2 linked regions of the Elephas maximus indicus genome follow. The protein of the gene in region 1 interacts with the protein of each later gene in a pairwise test. Links are inferred from orthologs where the notes say so. Each region holds a gene or a part of one and is shown in the gene's direction. Other genes may lie near its edges.

Region 1 (9,970 bases):
TCCTTCAATCAGTTTCACTTCAAAGGAAGTATCTATTGTCCTTCTGATGTGTCTCCTTCCTTATCTGTATGCTTTCATACATATTTGTGTCTACCTGTAAAAATACATAGTCTTTTAAGTATAGGTCTAAGCATTAATTGCTCTCTTACTGCTTTTATTTTATCTAAGAACTTGTTCTTGAGAGTTTTCAATGTCAATATACAGAGGCATAACTGATTTTAATTTCTGCTTCTAGTCTTCCATAGTATGGGTGCTACACAGTTTATTTAACCACCCGCTTACTAGTGGTGGAAACCCTGGTGGCATAGCGGTTAAGACTTTGGCTGCTAACCAAAAGGTCAGCAGTTTGAATCCACTAGGCGCTTCCTGGAAACCCTATGGGCAGTTTTACTCCTTCTTATAGGGTTGCCATGAGTCGGAATCAACTCGACAGCAGTGGGTTTGGGTTTTACTAGTGATTGTTTCCGTCTTTCTGCTAATACAAACAGTGCTTCGAAGAGCATCCTTTCCACGGCCCTCTGACTATATGAACAAGGGTTGCTATAGGATAAATACGGAAGAGTAGGAGTGTCGACTCATCAGGTTTATGGATTTTTTACAGAAGACATTTCCAAGTCGTCCTGCAAAGTGGCTGTTACAATTCTCCTTCCACCAATGTGTTTGAGGGAATTCATTTGCCCAGTGCTTCCCCAAGACTTGACTTTATTAAACTTTGTAATTTTGTCAGTCTAATGGGGAAAATAAACCTCCGCTAGACTAGAAGCAAAGCCTTGGTGGCACAGTGGTTAAGAGCTCAGGCTGCTAACCAAAAGGTCTAGAGTTCGAATCCACCAGCCACTCCTTGGAAACCCTATTGGGCAGTTCTATTGTGTTCTATAGGGTTGCCATGAGTTGGAATTGACTGGGCAGCAATGGGTTTGATTTTGGCGGGGGGGCGGTGGTTTAGACTAGAAGCAGGGGAGCAGATGCAGCAATTAAATTGAATGAGTAATGTCTACATATATTGACATCGAAAACCCTCAAGAGCAAATCTCCTGGGCTGGGGAGAGATAGTCACCGGCTGCCCGTCTTTGGGTAGGGCCTCTGGGAGGGGGGCCTGGTGCTGTTTCTTCAAGTTTCTGCCAGCTGTCTTTGCGGCCCTGTCTTCCACTTCTCCTTTCAAGGTAACTAGTGCTTCCAATTCCTGAGCATCTCTGGGTTTTGTGTGGAGAATCTGCCTCCTTCTCTTTGGCTTTCCGGCCTACTCTCCTCTGCCCCTCTTCCTAGACCTCCAATTCTAGCTTCAGCTTCTTATGGCCTGCTGTGTTACTTCCTGTTAGTACTACAATTTTAAAATTGTTGTTGACATGCCTCATCTTCTGTGGACTCCTCTTTTCTTCTCTTTAAATATTTCTTAACTGTTATTCTAGCAGGGTTTCAGGAAGGAGCAGAAATTCATGGAGTTATTCGTTCTACCACATTTAATCAACACTGATTTATATCCATATGTCTCTTTCCCCTAGCAGACTGCTAGCCTCTTACAGGCAGGAAAAGGTTATATTTGCCTGTGTCCCAGCAACTATGAGGAGGGGCTAGATACTTGCTGGGTGAATGGAGGAGTGGGTTAGAAAGTGGCTTGGGCGCCTTCTGTTGGTGGTCTGTAGGTAAAGGGATGGCCCCGAGGTAAGGGGATGGTTCCTGGGTAAGGGGTCATTAATTTACAATTTACAGGTTCATGAAGGATTCCACAATTCCACAATATTACTTGTCTCTCCTCCATCTTACAAATGATGCTCTGTTCAAACACATGAATTTGTCTTCTCTGATAGGCTGAACTTTGAGGAGTCTTGCTTGCATGACCCACTGATTGACCAAATAATTGTGTACTAGAGCACGGAGGACAAGCTAGGGCCTTGACAGGTGGTACTGTGCCTCCCTTAACTTGATGACACTTTCCCCAGGGTAGGTAGAGGAGGGCACCTTGACGCCCATCCTGCAAAAGGAGGAATAGCGTCAGTGGTTAGGACTTTTGGGAGTTAAAGATCTGGGCTTGATAGGTGGTGCACTGCTACCTTGTGTGATCTTGGCCAAGTTATCAACCTTTTTGGGTCTCAGTTTTCTTGACAGTAAAATGGGGATGATAATACTTAGCTCACAGGGTTGGTATAAGGATTAATTGACATAATGTATACAGTGTTTAACACAGCAGCTGGCACAATAGATTCTGGCTATCATCATCATCATCACCCTTATCATCACAGTCATTGTCATCATCGCCATCATTACACCATTCCATTCTACCTTGAGACTGGGACTCTCACCCCCAGCTTCTTTCCAGTGGTCCCAACCAGCATCCCATTTCCTCAGTAAACGGATATCTTTGTGAGTGAGAATCAGCATAAAGCTGGTTCCTGAGAGGCAGAGCTCAAGTATATGCCCACTTTCCAACTTCTCCATTATCTCTGACACCAGCTCTCCTCTTAACCCCCACCCACTCACGGCACTTTCTCTGCTGGGTTCGTTCGTTTGCTGGAACACTTCACAGAGCTCATGGACTGTACTTTTGATGAGGTGGTTTATTAGGGTAGAAGGATACAACTCAAATCAGGCTCAGCTCTTATGTGGCCAGAGGCAGACTCGAAAACCCTGGCGATGCAGTCTGTTTTCTGAATGAAAGCAACAGTTTGGTCCCTCGCTTCCATCTCTGGGGAGGGCAGCTCTAGGGACAGACTGTTCTGAGTTCTTCATGGTATCAGAGAAGTGGCCAAAAGCCCATGGCGGAAGGTGGTAGGCACCTGGCTCCTGGCCCAGTACTGTTTCTGGCCAGAGAGTTAGAGTAGGGGATTCTCCCTGATCCCAGCCCACAGTTCTACCTGGGGCTGACTGCCCTTGGAATTGGCATGATAAGATTTTTGGGGAAGGGGACAAAAGAGTTGTGTACAGTTTTATTTTTGTGTATCTGTTTTAGGGCTGTGATTCACACTCAAGATTCCAGGCCATGGGGCTGAGGGTCAACAGGCTGCATGTAAGACTCTGACACTCCTGGCTGTGGACTGCCAGTAAGTCACTGCACTTCTTGGAGCCTCTGTTTATTCATCTATAAAATGGGGACAAGAACATCTTTGCCACCGGGGTTGCCGTGAGGATCCAGTGAGATCTGAAAAGGCTTTGTCAACTGTACCACCCTATTGTCAACTGTACCACCCTATTGTCAATTGTTCTTATGAATCGGGCCCCGGGGAAGGGCCTGGGGCTCCAAGCTCCTCTGGAGTGAGAGAGCTCAGAACCCCTTAATTATCGGGGTAGAATTGTTGGTCCTATTCTTTGTTTCCTAACAGTGTCCCTTCCCAGAACCTCCTATTCGGCCAGAAAAACAAATCCCAGCTGGGGGTTGGTGTGCATAGCAACTATCTGGCTAATCTCCCCCTCCCCAGAGAAGCAGGCCTCCTCTGGGCCAGATAAGGAGTGACTCACTGTCGGGCCAGCCCTGGTGGCTACAATCTTTGTGAAGGCCCCACCGCACCCTGTTTTCAGGGCCGGCCTGGGGTCAAGCCTTCTTCCACCTTTGGGCTCCCGGGACCTACCTGCCATCTTCCTGCAACAGACTCACTATAAACTAGTGCCCAAAGCTGCCACTTCTTAAGGGTGAGGGTGGCTCCTACTGGGTTGGGGGAGCATGTGGGCATTTCCTGTTCATTTCAGGATAACTTGGTGGCTGGAAGACGGTTTGCTGGGGACTTAGGTTTCAGAGGCTAGGGACAAGTCTTCATTTAGTCACAGGTGGCCCAGGTGAGAATATGCAGAGAGGAGGGCTGAGGTGGGACACCCCTTATTTCACAGGGGGGAAACTGAGGCCTGGAGATGGAAAGTGATTGGCCTATCTTCCTAACACCTTCTCAAAAGAGCACAGGGCCTCTGTTCTGAGAGTGGGTGACTGCTCTGACATAGGACAAGAAGGAACCCTGGGGACAATTCTGAGGAGTGGTGAGGTCACTGGAAATAGGACCGGGGGTTGAGGTTGTTGCAGTCCCCCTAACCAGGGGTGTCCAGCAGGGGGCCTGACCCTCCAAACGGGTTAAAAAATGGGGGTGGAATTACTGGATAAAAGAAGGGCTGGGGCTGTGTGTAGTGCAGAGGGGGTCCTTCTTCTACTCTGTTATCACGACTCTTCACTCTGTGGATGAGTACCTTTGCACACGTTCCCTAGCTCCAGTCATTAATCCCTGCACTAGGATGTGGACTCGCTATACCAGGACTCAGGCTTGTAGCCCTCTCTGAGGTGCTCACAAGCAGGGTAGGGACTCCATCTTATTTTTGTCTTTGGGTGGCACGTGCTAAATACCTCATGGGCAAGTTAGTTGCCTCCCTCAGGTTCAGAGTCTTCCTCATGGGAATGTTAGTGAAGCTCAATAAATGTGTGATAATGAATGCTTGCTCCTGAGGCTGAAGGGTAGATGGCTGTTTGGTTGGGGTGAGAATCCCTGAGTAGGGGTCAGCACCCCGGTGGAAGTCAGGCTTGAGCTGGGGTTTGTGAAGGTCCAGTTTACAGCTGCCTGAACGGCTCCCTGCAGCTGTTCCTGGACTGTGCCTATTGTCACCTGGGGGCATTGTATGGCTGCAGCTGGGTGGGGCTGCTTAGCCTCAGGGAGGCCAGGGAGCCTGTGGCTCAGGGCACCCCCACCCGGAAATTGTGCCTTTGTCAGAGAGAACTGACGGGAGTCAAGGGAGAGAGGGCTCTGAGGCTGTTAGTCCAAGTGGGTGTGAGCTTCTGGCCAGTGTACTCTTAGTGGGGGGGGGGGGGGGGAGGGGCGTGGTGGAGTGTATCACAGGGAAGGGGCTCAGAACATGATGTGGGGGGCTCTGAGTGTGTGGTCGCTGGAAGGTGGTGTGGGAGTATAATCTCAACCCCCTCCCCCCCCCCAAAAAAATCTCAAGGGGCCTGTAATTCTTGTGGGGTGACAAACTCTGGGCTTCTTAATGGGTGAAGGTCAGAATGGGAATTCCGGGGGAGGAGGGAGGGATCCAGAATGTGATGGGTGTGTGCTGGGGTAGGTGGGGTCAGCTCTTGCGGAGGGCAGGGGCCTCTAATCTCTGGGAGGGGTGAGTTGGGGCAGAGCCGCCAGCCACTGGCCAATGGGGAGAGGGCCCATATTTGCACACAGGAGCCTGCGAATTCCTCGGGGCTCAGATGTCCGCCTCTGACACCATTCCCCCTCCCCCTTTCAGCCCGCCGGGGCATAAAAGGCGCCAGGTGAGGGCCTCGCCACTCCTCCTGCCGACCGCAGCTCCTAGGGCCAGCGACTTCTGCATCCTCCGTTTCGCCATGACTTCTTACAGCTATCGCCAGTCGTCCGCCACCTCGTCCTTCGGGGGCCTGGGCGGCGGCTCCGTGCGCTTTAGTGGGGGCGGTGCCTTCCGCGCGCCCAGCATCCACGGGGGCTCGGGCGGCCGCGGCGTGTCGGTGTCGTCCGCCCGCTTCGTGTCCTCGTCCGCCTCCGGGGGCTATGGCGGCGGCTATGCGGGCGCCCTGGCCGTGTCCGACGGGCTGCTGGCGGGCAATGAGAAGTTCACCATGCAGAACCTCAACGACCGCCTGGCTTCCTACCTGGCCAAGGTGCGCGCCCTGGAGGAGGCCAACGGCGAGCTGGAGGTGAAGATCCGCGACTGGTACCAGAAGCAGGGCCCCGGGCCCTCCCGCGACTACAGCCAGTACTACCAGACCATCGATGATCTGCGGGACAAGGTGGGCACTTGTCGGGCCGCGGCAAGTGCACCTGCCGTCGGGGAAACCCAGCCCCGCGGGCCGGGCGAGGCCGGAGCGGGGCGGGAAGGAGCCCGTTAGGGAGTGGGAGTGCCCGCAGGGCGGGGCGGAGAGCTGGGGGCAGGGGAGGGACAGCACGGGAGGAGGGAGGGCAGGGAGTGAGGACCGGGTGGCTGGGAGGGGCGGGGACTTGGGCGGGCGGGGTAGGTGGGTGGGGCCTGTAGAAGGCGGGGGGCGGGGCCGGTGAGGCTGAGGAAAGGGGGTGCTAGGAGTGGGAGGAGATGGGGCGCGCGTGTGGTCTGCTCAGTGGCCAGGCCAGAGGCCGCGGCAGCAACAGGGAGATGCAAGAGTTAGGGCTCCCTCCTCCCCCCTCCCGGGCCTGACGGGCTCCCTGCAGTCCCCGGTGTGAGGTCTCTGTATTCCTTTTCTCTGGCCTGCTGGGTCGGCTTCCATCAGCGTCAGGCCAAAGCCCCTCCTCCGCTGCCCAGGGGGCCATGCTGGGCCTAAGAGGCGCTCGGAGAATGGGAGAGGCCAGCTGTGGCCCCTGGGCAGGGTAAAGAAGGGACTTTGCAGAGGCCGCGGGTCCTTTTCTGTGAAGACCTCTGTTGGGGAGAACCAGGTGCAGCAGGGGCTGTCTGACCTGTGGGGTGGGGAGCCCTGGGCTGGATTCCAGGAGTCAGAGCCACAGGTTCTTAAACCTGTATCTTAAGGGGCGTCAGGGGTGGGCTTGGTCACCGCCTACAGGGAAGAGCTGTGTCCTGAAGAAATGTATCAGGAGCCAGTGGGATATTTAACCACCCCCCTGCTGGATGTCTGAACAGGCAGTTCCCAGCAACATTTCCCATGGCCCAGCAGGCACCGGGCCCGGGGCTGGGTGCCTGGGATAAGAACAGACCCAGGGGAAAGTGAGGAGAGCCGAGATAGAAACAGCCAACTAGAAGAGTGCTTCACACACTTTTAAAACTGTTACCTCCAGTAAGAAAGAAGTTTTACTGTGCACACTCACACATTTATCGTTGCTCTATCACACACACAATGGAGGCAAAAGTCTTGAAACAATTCTCATTCTACAGTGGGTGATGCCCTCCGATATTTTATATTTCTGGCCCTTTTTTTGTTAAAAAAATGATGCAGAAAACAGAACAAAACAAACAAACAGGCAAACAAAAACTGATGCAGACCATCACCCGGTACATTAACTAATGAGTCACGACTGGCTCTTTGGAACCTAAGTATCTAAGAACACTAATCGATGATAGGCTGGATGATGCCAATAGGCCCCCTCAGGTCCGAGAGCACTGTGGTCAAATCTCGCCCTGCCGTTTACTAGTGAGGTGAACTTGGACAAAGTACCCTGAATTTCAGTTTCCTTTTCTTTAAAATAGGAGTATCCACTGACCTGGCAGTGAAGTTCCATAGGCTGGAAGATGAGGTGCAAAGTGCCTGGGATATAATAACCAAAACCAAACCTGTTGCTGTCGAGTTGATTTCAACTCATAGTGACCCTATAGGACAGAGTAGAACTGCCCCACAGAGTTTGCAAGGAGCCCCTGTTGGATTTGAACTGTTAACCTTTTGGTTAGCAGCCATAACACTTAACCATTACACCACTTTGATGCTCAAAAAATGGAATTTTCTTCCCTGAGGGCAGAATGTGGCTTAAGGGGGGAGTGCCAACAAAGAAGTAAGCCCTTGATGCTGCCCTTGCCCCGTTCCCCCCTTGCTTCCCTGCGTTGGGTTTATAGATCACTAGAGGTTGCCTCCCTTAAGGGCATGCAAGTGTCCCTGGGCACAGGTCTCTCCCTAGGCTATCCTTCTGTCCTCCCCTCACCATACACCTCCCCGTTGGCCAGCCCCTGCCTCCCAGGCGGCACTTGCTCTTGATCCAGCTCCTGGGCGTGGAGTCCACAGCCACCCAGAGAGCAGGCCAATGGGCAGCCGATGGGTGCCAGGGGCCCTGGTGTCTAGGGAATGGGGGGGTATATTCATTTACTCCTCTCTTTCCTCTGGGAAGAAAGTGGGTGCGCAGTGTTTATATGCTGAACGGGTGCCAACCTCTTGCTTGCTGCCTTCCAGATTCTTGCTGCCACCATTGAAAACTCCAAGATTGTCCTACAGATCGACAATGCCCGTCTGGCTGCAGATGACTTCCGGACTAAGTGAGTGTCTGCACTGGGGGCATCCGGGAGCCAGGGCAGGGTGAGGGCCAATCCCAGGCCCGTGTGGGGCTCAGCGCAGTGGGGTCTGGACTCTACCTCACCCACCCCAGCTGGCCTGGAGAAACCGCCCCCATGGATTTCTGAACTCTGGGAGGTGGGGTCGTCCTCAGAGGTACAGGGGTAACCTGGTCTGGCTGCACCTGTTTCTTCTGAAAGATTTGAGACGGAGCAGGCCCTGCGTCTGAGCGTGGAAGCCGACATCAACGGCCTGCGCAGGGTGCTGGATGAGCTGACCCTGGCCAGGACCGACCTGGAGATGCAGATCGAAGGCCTGAAGGAGGAGCTGGCCTACTTGAAGAAGAACCATGAGGAAGTGAGTTTTAGGCTGGGCCTTCCCATCCTGCCCCAGCTTCCCAGGGCTGAGGACATTTTTCTACCCTGGATTCCCTGAGCTTGGCTATACTTGCTGCACCCTCGGCATGGCTCCTGGGGTTCCAGCAGGGGAGCGTGGTGACCCAGCTTATTCCACAGTGGTGGCTCCTGGGTCTACACCTGAGAACCAGTCCCATCTGGCCTGGGCTGAGCCAGGGGAGGAGGGTGACCTGGCCCAGGCCCAGTAGGCTCAGGGTCCTGACATGCCCATCTCTTCTGTCTTTCCAGGAAATCAGTGTCCTGAGGGGCCAGGTGGGTGGCCAGGTCAGTGTGGAGGTGGATTCTGCTCCGGGCATCGACCTTGCCAAGATCCTGACCGACATGAGAAACCAATATGAGGTCATGGCCGAGAAGAACCGGAAGGATGCTGAAGCCTGGTTTATCAGCCGGGTATGGAGGGGAAGCAGGTGCCCTTGGGGAGGGGGCAAGGAGAGAGGGCTTGATGCCCCTTGCCCCCGCAGCCAAAGGTCTGTCTGAATGCCTGTTCCTCCCTCCGCTTGTTGTAGACCGAGGAGCTGGACCGGCAGGTCGCTGTCCACACAGAACAACTCCAGATCAGCAAGACGGAGGTGACTGACCTGCGGCCCAAGCTCCAGGGCCTGGAGATTGAGCTACAGTCACAGCTGAGCATGGTATGTGCCCCAGACCCCGTGGGAGCCTCGTGGTGGGGTGGCTGTGCCTTCTTTGGGGACAGGGCTCTGCAGAGTCATGGTCCTCCTTTTTCCTGCCCTCAGAAAGCTGCCCTGGAAGGCACGCTGGCGGAAACGGAGGCCCGCTTCGGGGCCAAGCTGGCGCAGATCCAGGCGCTCATCAGCAGTATTGAGGCCCAGCTGAGCGAAGTGCGTGCTGACACCGAGCGGCAGAATCAGGAGTACCAGCAGCTCTTGGGGATCAAATCACGGCTGGAGCAGGAGATTGCCACCTACCGCAGTCTGCTCGAGGGCCAGGATGCCCTGCCCCTCATCAAGGCCTACTGAGTCCTGGGCTTCCTGCCCTCCTGCAGAGGGATCCCTCCGGGCAGGGGTAGAGAAGGGAAGGAACCCTTGACCCTGTTTCTTCCCCCAGAACTGCCAATAAAACTTTATGGAAAGACATTTGGTTTGTTCTTTCAGCCCATGGGGTGGACCAGGCCTTGGCTCTAGTTAGATTTTATTTGGACCAAGGTCCATCCTGTCCCAGGAAAGGGAAGGGAGTGCACTCACATACTGTTCCTGTAATTCCTGTTTGCAGTGGTCTTCATTTATCTAACCTGTTCCTTACGACAACTCTGAAATAAGCAGTGTACCCATTTTACAGAGGGGTAAACTAAGGCTTAGAAAGGTGAAATGGTTGGTTGTATTTTTTATATAATATACTATATCCAGCACATGGCAAAGATGGGATGGTTTTTGCTTGCAGATTTGGTTTTTTTTTCCATTGTGCTCTCCTGAGAGTTGGTGACTACATGTGTGGAATTGACTTTTATTGACTACTATGTGCTATTTAATCAAAACAACCCTTAGAGGCAGTTAGTTTGAGCTGCATCTTATAGATCAAGAAATGGGCTCAGAGAGGTTAAGTAACTTGTCCAAAGCCACAGAGAGTACATGGCAGAGCCAGCACTAGAAGCTAGGTTTCCTGATTCTTAGCCCACCCACTG
Region 2 (9,922 bases), on another chromosome or scaffold:
GGATCAGCAATGGGTGGCCACCCGGCTGAGGTGAAGGGCAGGAAAAGAGACGGGGGGCCTAGGGTTCCCTTGGGCAAGGTGCTGGGAGAAGACCACCACTCAACTGGCGCCTCCCACCTGGCTCGGGTGCAGATTTCCTGGTGGAAAAGGACCAGGAGTACTGCGTGTGCGAAATGCCCTGCAACCTGACCCGCTACGGCAAGGAGCTGTCCATGGTCAAGATCCCCAGCAAAGCTTCAGCCAAGTACCTGGCCAAAAAATTCAACAAGTCTGAGCAGTACATAGGGTAAGGGCTCTGACTGTGACCTTAAGCTGGGGACTATGAAGGGTATGAGGGGTCTGATGGGAGACAGGCAGGAGGAAGCTGAGATGACATGGGGAAGGCCCAAAGAGACTGGGGTGGGTATAGAGGGAAGATCAAGTCAGAATAAGCAGGAGGAAAGCCCCTTTCTCCCCACTCCCTGCTTGGTCTTCTATCTTCATCCTCACTGCTGTAAGTGTGATCAGTTCACACTTCCCAGTGCGCATAGTATCTTTTTGTACAGAACATATCCTTTAACCCTCAGCAACCCCACAAAGCAGGTAGCTCCATTAGCATCTCATTTTATAGATATGGAGACTTAGATTCTGAGAGGTTAACTTGCTAAGGTCACCCAATTAGTAAGGGACAGAGATATGACTTGAACCTAGGTCTCCTCCCCCAACCCCACTGCAGGGAGAACATCCTGGTGCTGGACATTTTCTTTGAAGTCCTCAACTATGAGACCATTGAGCAGAAGAAGGCCTATGAGATTGCAGGGCTCCTGGGTGAGCTACTGATGGCACCTGTTCCCTTCCAGTGCTACGGACATGGCCTGGCCCCTACCACCCAAAGCAGGGTGCTTACCTCTGTCACAGGAGGCTCCCCCACCCCTAGGGGCCTTTCCCCAAATCCTATTGTCTCAGTATGTGGTGAGAAGAGGAGGCTGACACTTCTCGTCCAAAAACCCACTGCTGTCAAGTCGATTCCAACTCATACTGACCTCATAGGGTTTCCAAGGCTGTAAATCTCAACAGAAGTAGACTGCCACATCTTTCTCCTGCAGGGAGGCTGGTAGTTTCCAACTGCCGACCTTTCAGTTAGCAGTCCATTGCTTTAACCACTGTGCCACCAGGGCTCCAAGGCTTCTTTTAGAGACAGGCCTATGTCCATGAGCGCCGGGCAAGGGGTGGATGTGGGACTATCGTACATATCCCTGAAAGTTGGCCCAGACACTGAGAGTGTTCGGTTATTTTGTAAACAATTGTTTTTCCTGAAATATTACCTGTTCTAGAAAAGTAGAAAAATGCAGAAAAGCATAAAAAAAAAAAAAAGAGTGCCATCGAGTCGATTCCGACCCATAGCGTATATAGGACAGAGTAGAACTGCCCCATAGAGTTTCCAAGGAGCGCCTGGTGGATTCCAACTGCCGACCCTTTGGTCAGCAGCCGTAGGACTTAACCATTATGGGAAGAAAAGAAAAATCCCTCTAGAATCTGGCTTTGCGCTCCTTCTGTACGAAGGCTACCAATCCCCTTGCGAATACGACCTGCCCACCCCTGTCCCAGTGAGCCCGGCTGGCCTCCAAAGTGTCCGGACCCCACTGACCTCCCCGCCGCTCCTGCAGGTGACATTGGGGGCCAGATGGGGCTGTTCATCGGCGCCAGCATCCTCACGGTGCTGGAGCTCTTTGACTACGCCTATGAGGTGAGCCGGCTGGGAGGCCCGGGGCCGGGGCCACGGGGGCGGGATTCCAGCCCACCCACCCCCACGCTGCACCCCCATTGCAGGTCATTAAGCACAAGCTGTGCCGACGAGGGAAGTGTCAGAAGGAAGCCAAAAGGAGTAGTGCCGATAAGGGCGTGGCCCTCAGCCTGGATGACGTCAAGAGACACGTGAGGGAGCAAGCGAGGGGCGCCCTCCCCACCGCCTTCCTCCCCCACCACCCCAGGACCAGCCACCCCGCCCTTGGCCTCTTCTCTCCTTTCCCTCCCCCACGCCCCAGAGCCCCCTGTGGCCCTTCCGATAACCAGTCCCTATCCTGTGCCCTTCCCCTAGAACCCGTGCGAGAGCCTCCGTGGCCATCCTGCTGGAATGACTTACGCTGCCAACATCCTACCTCACCATCCGGCCCGAGGCACGTTTGAAGACTTTACCTGCTGAGCCCTGCAGGCCACTGTACCAAAGGCCTAGATGGGGAGGGCTAGAAGAGCAACGGGGCCTGCTAGCCCCATCTGTCTTGGGGACTCACCCCCCACTCTAAGGGCAGCCCCCCATTCCTAGGCAGTCCTTTCTTCTTGTCTGTGGTGAGGAAGGAGTCTTGACCTTAGGGTCTTCTCCCTGCCTCTATTCCATTCTTTTAATTTTTAACAAAACTAATCTAAGAGACACTAAAAAGAGAGAAAGGGGCAAGGGACCTTAGGCTGCCCCTCTCTGCCCCATGCTGCCTCCCCCAGCTCCCAGCCTGAATTCTGTCTGTCTGGCTGTCTGTCATCTGAGTGTCCACCTACATTTGCTGCCACCAGTCACCAAAGTCCTCTCCCAGTGGGGGGTGGAGGGGATTCCCCCCGGGGTCTGTAGTTTTCCTGAAACCAGAGAATGTACCTTGAGGGGGAGGGCTAGTGGAAGGGAGCTTCCCCAGCCTTAAGCGACCCTCTCAGCCCAGTGACCTACCCAACCCCAAGTCTCTGGGCAGGATCTAAGACCCCAGTCCCATCCCCTCACACCATGTGGAGTCTTTAGGGGGCTGGGTGGGGGGATTCACTGAAGAAGTAGATATGGGGGCAAGGTGTGGCCCTGGTGCTGTAGGCCACATCCTGATACCTACAAGCTCACCCTCACCCCAGAGCTGTAGCTGCTGGAGAGAAATCCCAAGAGACAGCCTCCACTGTCCCATAAAAGACCCCGCTGGTTGGCTTCCAGCTCAGGGAGAGGAGCACTGGTGCCTGACCTCACTGGTCCGTCTCCCAGGGGCCCCTGCAGAGGGCCACATCCATAAATTTTCTTATGGAACTCCCCCAAGTCTGCTTCCCCAACTCCATTTGCTTCTCTCAACAACCTCATCTGCATTTTCTATTTCTATATGATACAGACTCTATATTGCTATATCTCTGTATATACTTCCCCCAACCTTGTCTGTCTCCACCCCATCCCCTCTTGTCTCTGAGAACCACCCGCCCCAAGATCCCCCTTGTGTGTCTCTGCCTCCTCCCTGGTCTCTGAATGCCTTCGCCTGTATAAAGAGTTGGACTCTCTCCCCTGGTGTCTGTACTGTGTACACACATCCCTCTGAGAAGCACAAGGAGACGACACGCGCATTGTAACCTTCGCACTGTCTTGGTGGCGACATAAAGGAAGCTGTGAATCACAAGCTCTGCCTCTTTCTGGCCTCACCCTCTCCCCCTATTCTGGGCACCCTCTGCCCTCCCTGCAGCCTTAACATTCCCGTCCCCTGCTCCATCCACCCCAATGCCCTTTGCCTGGCTGACTGCAGCCTCCCCAGGGAAGGGGTTGTAACAGAGATAGTCCTTACCCAGGAGATGAAGACTGCTCTGGAAATTAAGCCAAGAAGAACTTTTCCCAAGCTGGCAGCCTTTTTTCAGATACAAAAGGGAGCTGGGGATTGGTAACTCTCGCAACTGGGCAGCAGGGTGTAAACAGGCAGAAAGGAAGGTCCCCAGTCAGTGGCCTTTTCCTCCTTCTGGGTGCCCAACCCCTTTCTCTCTCTTCATACCCAAGCCTACCACTCATATTTTCTGGCGAGGTGGGCTTTGGTAGTAGGAGGAAAGAGACAGGCCTAGAGGGGGAGTTGAAAGCTTTGCTGTTCTGTTCCTCTCTCCTTAATGAGAGATGAGTGATGGAGAGGGCCTGCCTCCCTCACCCCCCACCCCCTGTCCCAGGCATTCCTCCCAGGCCAGAGTCCCAATCCCTTCCTAGGTGTTTTCTGCTCAACTGTCTCTGGGTCTCCAACCCCAGGACAGGATCTGTGGGCAGGTCACCTGTGCATTGGCCTGGAGTTGGTGAGTAAGGCTGTCGGATCTTTGGGAACTCTTTGTTTGTAGGAGTTGCTTAGAGACCAGACCTCCCCAAAGGGAAACAGTAGCAAGGCCAAGAAGTGTGCAGTGGATGGGGGAACAGCAGGCGGGACTCTGCGTGACGCATGCGTCTGGTCTAATAAACTGGGTTTCAACCATCTCCTCTTCAGTGTTGTTCTTCACTTATTTGAAAGGTAGTTAGGTCTTCCCATGAAGTGCTTAGCACTGGACCTTAGCTTGGGGCCAATCAGAATGAAGAGTAAGGAGAGGGTTTGATTGGGAGGTCCTGATGCTCTTGGGATGGGGCAGGCTGACCATCACGAGGGAATGGTTTGAACTAGTTTGAACTACAATACTGGGCAGGGAGAGAGGGAGGGGTCAAAAGCAACAAAGACCTCAAAGAGAAGCTCCACCACAAAGGATTCCTTGAAGAGCTGGATCAAAATTCAAGATACACTGGAATGTTAAATCTGGAACGAGTTAGGTTAAAGGTCAGGGACAAAGTTGGGCTGAAGTTCCAGTGTGAGGTGGTTATTAAGGCACTTTATTTTTTATCCGTGGAATGAACTACGGGCTAGGAGCCAAGAGATCTGGATCCTAGGAATGACTCTGCTGTAACTTGCTGGTTGACCTTTGCCAAGTCATTTACCCTCTTTGAGCTCAATTTTCCCGTTTGCAAAATGGAATAAACAGTGCGTTCCTCTCCTCAGCCCCCCAGAGTTATAGCGGTAAGGGAATGAAACGGAAGATAATCAAAGCGCTTTGGAAAGTTAAAAGTACTGCGCCAAAATGAAGCATTTACTCCGCCACCCTCTTCAGAGGCTTAGGGCAGGGTCTGTGAGTGCCCTCTCCAGGTCTTTCTCTTCCTCCGGTCGGCCTGGGGGCGCCCTCTCTCAGGGCCTCTCTAGCCTAGAGTTCGTCTCTATGGTTTTCGACCCTGGACCATGAAGGCGGGAGGGAGTGGTCAGCGCAGCCTTTTCCGCTGGTCCCCCCCACTCTAGCCCACAGTCTTGCTGCCCTAAGCCTCCCGAGCCGGCCGGCTGGCCGGGCTGACAGGCGGGCGCTCGGGGGGCGCGCAAGGGGCGGGGGGAGTTCCGGTTCCGGTTCTTTGTGCAGCTGCTGCGGCGGCTCCAGAGAAGATGGCGGCCCGGGCGGGTTTCCAGTCGGTGGCCCCGAGCGGCGGCGCCGGAGCCTCAGGAGGGGCGGGCGCGGCGGCCACCCTGGGCCCGGGTGGGACTCCGGGGCCCCCAGTGCGAATGGGCCCGGCGCCGGGTCAAGGGCTGTACCGCTCCCCGATGCCCGGAGCGGCCTATCCGGTGAGTGGGGCAGGAGGAGGGGCGCGCGGGCCGGGGGCGGGGCCGAGCGGGGGCCTGGGAGTGACAAGGGTGCGGGGAGAAGTAGGAGGGACTCTCCTGGAAAGATTCAGGCCCGGGGTGGGGATGGGGGTGGGGAAGGCAGTTGGGAGGAAAGTAGGGGGAGCAGTTAGCATCCCCACCTGCTGCTAGGGGCATTGTTTCCGTAGGAAGTAAGGTTATAGGATCAGCGTGGATGAAGTGGGGCCACTAGGGGTGGGCATTTGAGGTCTGGAGTGCAGAGAGGCTGGAGCAGCTCCAGTGCCCAGAGGAAGACAGAAGGTAGAGCTGGTAAATTGGGGTCAGCGTTTACGGAAATAATAGCTGGCAGAGTCAGTGTGGGACTAGAGATGTTTGATCTGTCAGATCCAAAATAGATTGGGGAGAATTTTAGTATAAGTTGGCTGTATTCTGTGGAACCATGATTGGAGTGGAGGAAACCTAAGTTGCCCATATTTCAAAGAGTCAGAGGGCTCTCGCCTCATTTTCCTCCACCCCACACCCCAGTCCTGTTTTGTTCAAAGAACTCAGGCACGCCGAACTTTCCCTTTCCGGATGAAGTTAGCAAGGAAGGCCGTGACATCTCTGGGTCTTCTCCCCTCCATAGAGACCAGGTATGCTGCCAGGCAGCCGAATGACACCTCAGGGACCTTCCATGGGACCTCCTGGCTATGGGGGGAACCCTTCAGTCCGACCTGGCCTGGCCCAGTCAGGGATGGATCAGTCCCGCAAGAGACCTGCGCCTCAGCAGATCCAGCAGGTCCAGCAACAGGCAGTCCAAAATCGAAACCACAAGTAAGATGACCCTGGGGCAGAGGGAGGGAGGGAAGAGGTCTGTGAGGACACAGGTGGGAGTACTGTGAACCAAGAAGTGGTGGTGCTGTGTCAGCAGCCTGGTGCGTGCTGGGGAACTCATTCTGAGAATGCCTCATGCTGCTTGGAGGCAAGGGGGTTCTTTGACTTGAGAGAAGCTTTGCAGCCCCTCCACTTTATATAAATGGAGATGCTGACAGCTTGTTTTCATGTTCTGACTAGTGCCATCCCAACCTCATAACAGTATTTATTCCATACAGTGCAAAGAAAAAGAAGATGGCTGACAAAATTCTACCTCAAAGGGTGAGTCCAGGCTGTAGATCTCCCTGAGAGTGTAGTGAGTTTGAGAATAGAGATGGTCAGCTCTAGATGCCAATTATATCTTTCTGTTCCTAAGATTCGTGAACTGGTACCAGAATCTCAGGCCTATATGGATCTCTTGGCTTTTGAAAGGAAGCTGGATCAGACTATCATGAGGAAACGGCTAGATATCCAGGAGGCCTTGAAACGTCCCATCAAGGTAATGCAGGAGAGCGCTAGGCAGAGAGCTGAAGGAAAGGACTCGGGAACCTTCAGCAGGCTTAGCATGAGAAATTAAAGGCGCAGCACAGCTCTCCTTGGCATTTAAATTGCATCTCTCCCTTCCGCCTACAAACTGAGAATTACATTAGGAGCATAAGAACAGAACAGCGAGGGGGAGGAACTTTTCATGTCCCTAGCACCAGAAATACATCCTGTCCATGTTTTTGTTACAACTGCTTTGCTGCCTTTGGGATCTGGCACCCTGCATGACTTTATCCCAGTGTATGCACTCAACGCTCAGATCAGTGGCCTGTACTCCCCTTCTCGGTGGACTCTCCATTCACCCACCCCAGGGACTGGATAGACAGTAAGCCAGATGTTAGGAGTAATTTTGGGGTTTGGGGAGACCCTAGCCTTCAGCATCAGACCACTGAAGCCCCGCCATCAATCCTGTTTCTGCCTTCCTCAGCAAAAACGGAAGCTGCGAATTTTCATTTCTAACACTTTCAATCCGGCTAAGTCAGATGCCGAGGATGGGGAAGGGACGGTGGCTTCCTGGGAGCTTCGGGTAGAAGGACGGCTCCTGGAGGATGTGAGTTCAAGGTCAATGGTGGTCGGTGTCTAGGGTGGGAGCTGTGGGGAACAAGCAGTGTTGTCTGGTCAGCAGGAAGCCTGACCGGTGCTTACAATTCCTGTTGGGAGCAGCAGGGAGAGGGGAACTCTGTTCCCTGCACTGGAAGACAATGGTTCTTTGTGTCTGGCTCCCACAGCTTTGGCCCTCACTGTGGTAGCATATCGAGAACCATATTGTCCTAGGATCTGATTTGTTGTTTACGTTCTTCCTGGTGCTGCTGGCCATTGGATTTATCAGTATCTGCAGAATACTTTAGTTTTTTTTTAATTTATTTTTAATCAAGTGAGTCTGCAGTTGGCATTTGAAGCCATGATTTCCTCTCTTGAGTCGTTGAGGTCCTTGATTCCTATTGAGGCATCTCCCTTTTTCCCAGCTTTTATTGGAGACACCTCGCTGTTAAAGTGAGATAGATTTCTCTGGCAGGCTCTTGTCATTTCATAAGGAGCATCAGCTGACAGGTGGTAGCCCCCAAACTTCCCACTCTAGCGGCTCCTTGGGGAAGCTCACCTTTCTCTCATTCCCTTATACTTTGTAGCTCTCTATTTTTAGATTTTCACAGGCAAGCTTATTTGAATGCATGTTTGTAGGAGAACCAGGGCTTGGTATCAGAGGCTTCTTCTTCTCTATATGAGTCCAGTCCATCTGCTGATGTTGTCATTCCATCCAAATAAAGCTGTTTTTTGTTCTGGGTGCTTATTGCCTGTGATTAATTGCCCCTCTAGAGTCAGGCTTTCCTTTGTTCAGACTTGCTTTGTTGTTATATGCAATGATTTGGCTTAACTAGCCTCATTTCCCGTGGGGAAATGAGGTGGGTAAGTCAGTGACCCAGTGCATATTACAGGCTGCTTCTCCAGGGTTCCATTGCTACCGTGACTGGTTTAAGAGCTATTTAGAAGATATTTCTGAATGTTTTGCCATTGCTGTTGTGGGTTCCTTTTCTATGGAACTTTGTCTTGGGAAGTTTCTTCTGATCTATTCTAACATGAGCTCTCCTCTCCTCTCCTCTAGTCAGCCTTGTCCAAATATGATGCCACCAAACAAAAGAGAAAGTTCTCTTCCTTTTTTAAATCCCTCGTGATTGAACTGGACAAAGACCTGTATGGGCCAGACAACCATCTGGTAGAAGTGAGTAGTTTCTGCCTTCTAGGCTTTAACTCTGTGACTGGAGGATGGTGGACTTGGGCGTCAGATTTTACTTGGGGAGGTGTAAATTAAAGGGTTTCCCCAGGTGTACAGTACCACCGTTGTAGTTTGCACATTGACCTCCAGGTGGCACTAGCTGTGTTTAGTTCAGGTGCTGGGCCCAAGAGCACTTGCAATCTAACTTGTAACACTTTTTTAATGTTACTATTTTGGTTGCACAGAGAGGTCATTTTCTGCCCCCACTTTCAAGAGAAGTTCTAATGGTGGCTTCTTGTACATTCCAGGCCATCTCTGTGTCTTGCTCGTTAATAATGGTGAGACTTATCCACGCACCATTCCTACTTTTTCCTGGTAGCAATTGCTATAGTTAAAGGGATCGTGTAATAGTGTACTAGTATTTGTCGAGGTTACGTTTATAGATCTTGCACTTCCTATTGGTCCTTGCTCCATTTAGATTCCAAATAATCTCCAAAAATCTTTTATTGTGCATAATTGCATAATGTTCTGAAGACCATGTTAGTATTCATGTTGCAGAAGAGCATGCTAGTGACAGAACCAGAACCAGAATGAGACAGTGCAGCACTTCAAGTAAACTTAACCAGCGCCCTTCTTTCCCAGTATAGCCATAGCCCCTTAATCTCAACTAATAAGAGACATGGGAAGGTCTTTACCATTTAATAAGGGAAGTAAGTGATGGACTCAATAGCATTATGTAAATATATTTACCTTAATTTTATAGTAGTAGAGCATAAACTAAAACCATGGCAACCGAGTTACTGTCAAGTTGATTCCAAACTCATGACGACCTTATAGGACAGAGTAGACCTGCCCTATAGAGTTTCCAGGGAGCAACTGGTGGATTTGAACTGCTGACCTTTCAGTTAGCAGCTGAGCTCCTTAACCACTGCACCACCAGGGCTCCAATAATAGAGCACAGTGACTAAGAATGGGGACTGTAGAATCAGACAGAGCAGAGATCAAATCGCAGCTCCACAACTTCCTGGTTACTTGGCATTACTCAGGTTACTTCACTCTTCTAAGCATTAGTTTTCTCATCTGTAAAATAGAGTAGTGACTGTCATATGGATATTGTGGGAACTGAATGAGATAATCCAAGTAAATGGCTTATAATATTCTTGCACATAGTATTTAATAAACAATAGCTACATTATGTTACCATGTACATGTGTATTATCTGCTTTGTGGATAAAATTATCACTGGAAATTCAGGCTAATTTAAGTGTGATTCTGAACAGTCAGAATTAACAGGCTCATCTGTTACACATAGACATTAATCCCAAAGCCATATGCAATTAAAAAAAGTCTCATGCTACTGTTCTTCTCCAGTAGCCTCAGTAATGAAAAATTGAATATGCAGTCATTACAAAAGCTCTTCCCTCCCACC

Evidence for each region.
Region 2: the proteins of keratin, type I cytoskeletal 15 (region 1) and SMARCD1 interact in binary tests that used the Homo sapiens proteins (3 or more experiments, as listed by UniProt). The two-hybrid records come from large-scale screens. The link is inferred for Elephas maximus indicus from reciprocal best matches to the Homo sapiens genes KRT15 and SMARCD1.

Annotation. Positions count from the first base shown.
Region 1 is NC_064837.1:48,602,697-48,612,666, reverse strand, and holds the start of keratin, type I cytoskeletal 15, read left to right. Parts: upstream 1-5,121; 5' UTR 5,122-5,167; coding exon 5,168-5,512; coding exon of another isoform or gene 5,513-5,722; intron 5,723-7,816; coding exon of another isoform or gene 7,817-7,899; intron 7,900-8,115; coding exon of another isoform or gene 8,116-8,272; intron 8,273-8,559; coding exon of another isoform or gene 8,560-8,721; intron 8,722-8,837; coding exon of another isoform or gene 8,838-8,963; intron 8,964-9,065; coding exon of another isoform or gene 9,066-9,308; exon of another isoform or gene 9,309-9,419; intron 9,420-9,970.
Region 2 is NC_064822.1:105,498,205-105,508,126, forward strand, and holds the start of SMARCD1 (SWI/SNF-related matrix-associated actin-dependent regulator of chromatin subfamily D member 1), read left to right. Parts: upstream 1-4,965; 5' UTR 4,966-5,192; coding exon 5,193-5,369; intron 5,370-6,012; coding exon 6,013-6,200; intron 6,201-6,478; coding exon 6,479-6,521; intron 6,522-6,615; coding exon 6,616-6,738; intron 6,739-7,209; coding exon 7,210-7,332; intron 7,333-8,382; coding exon 8,383-8,499; intron 8,500-9,922. Other genes in the region: ASIC1 (acid-sensing ion channel 1), read left to right, coding at 133-286, 716-807, 1,647-1,726, 1,810-1,914, 2,078-2,182. UniProt on the Homo sapiens protein: Involved in transcriptional activation and repression of select genes by chromatin remodeling (alteration of DNA-nucleosome topology).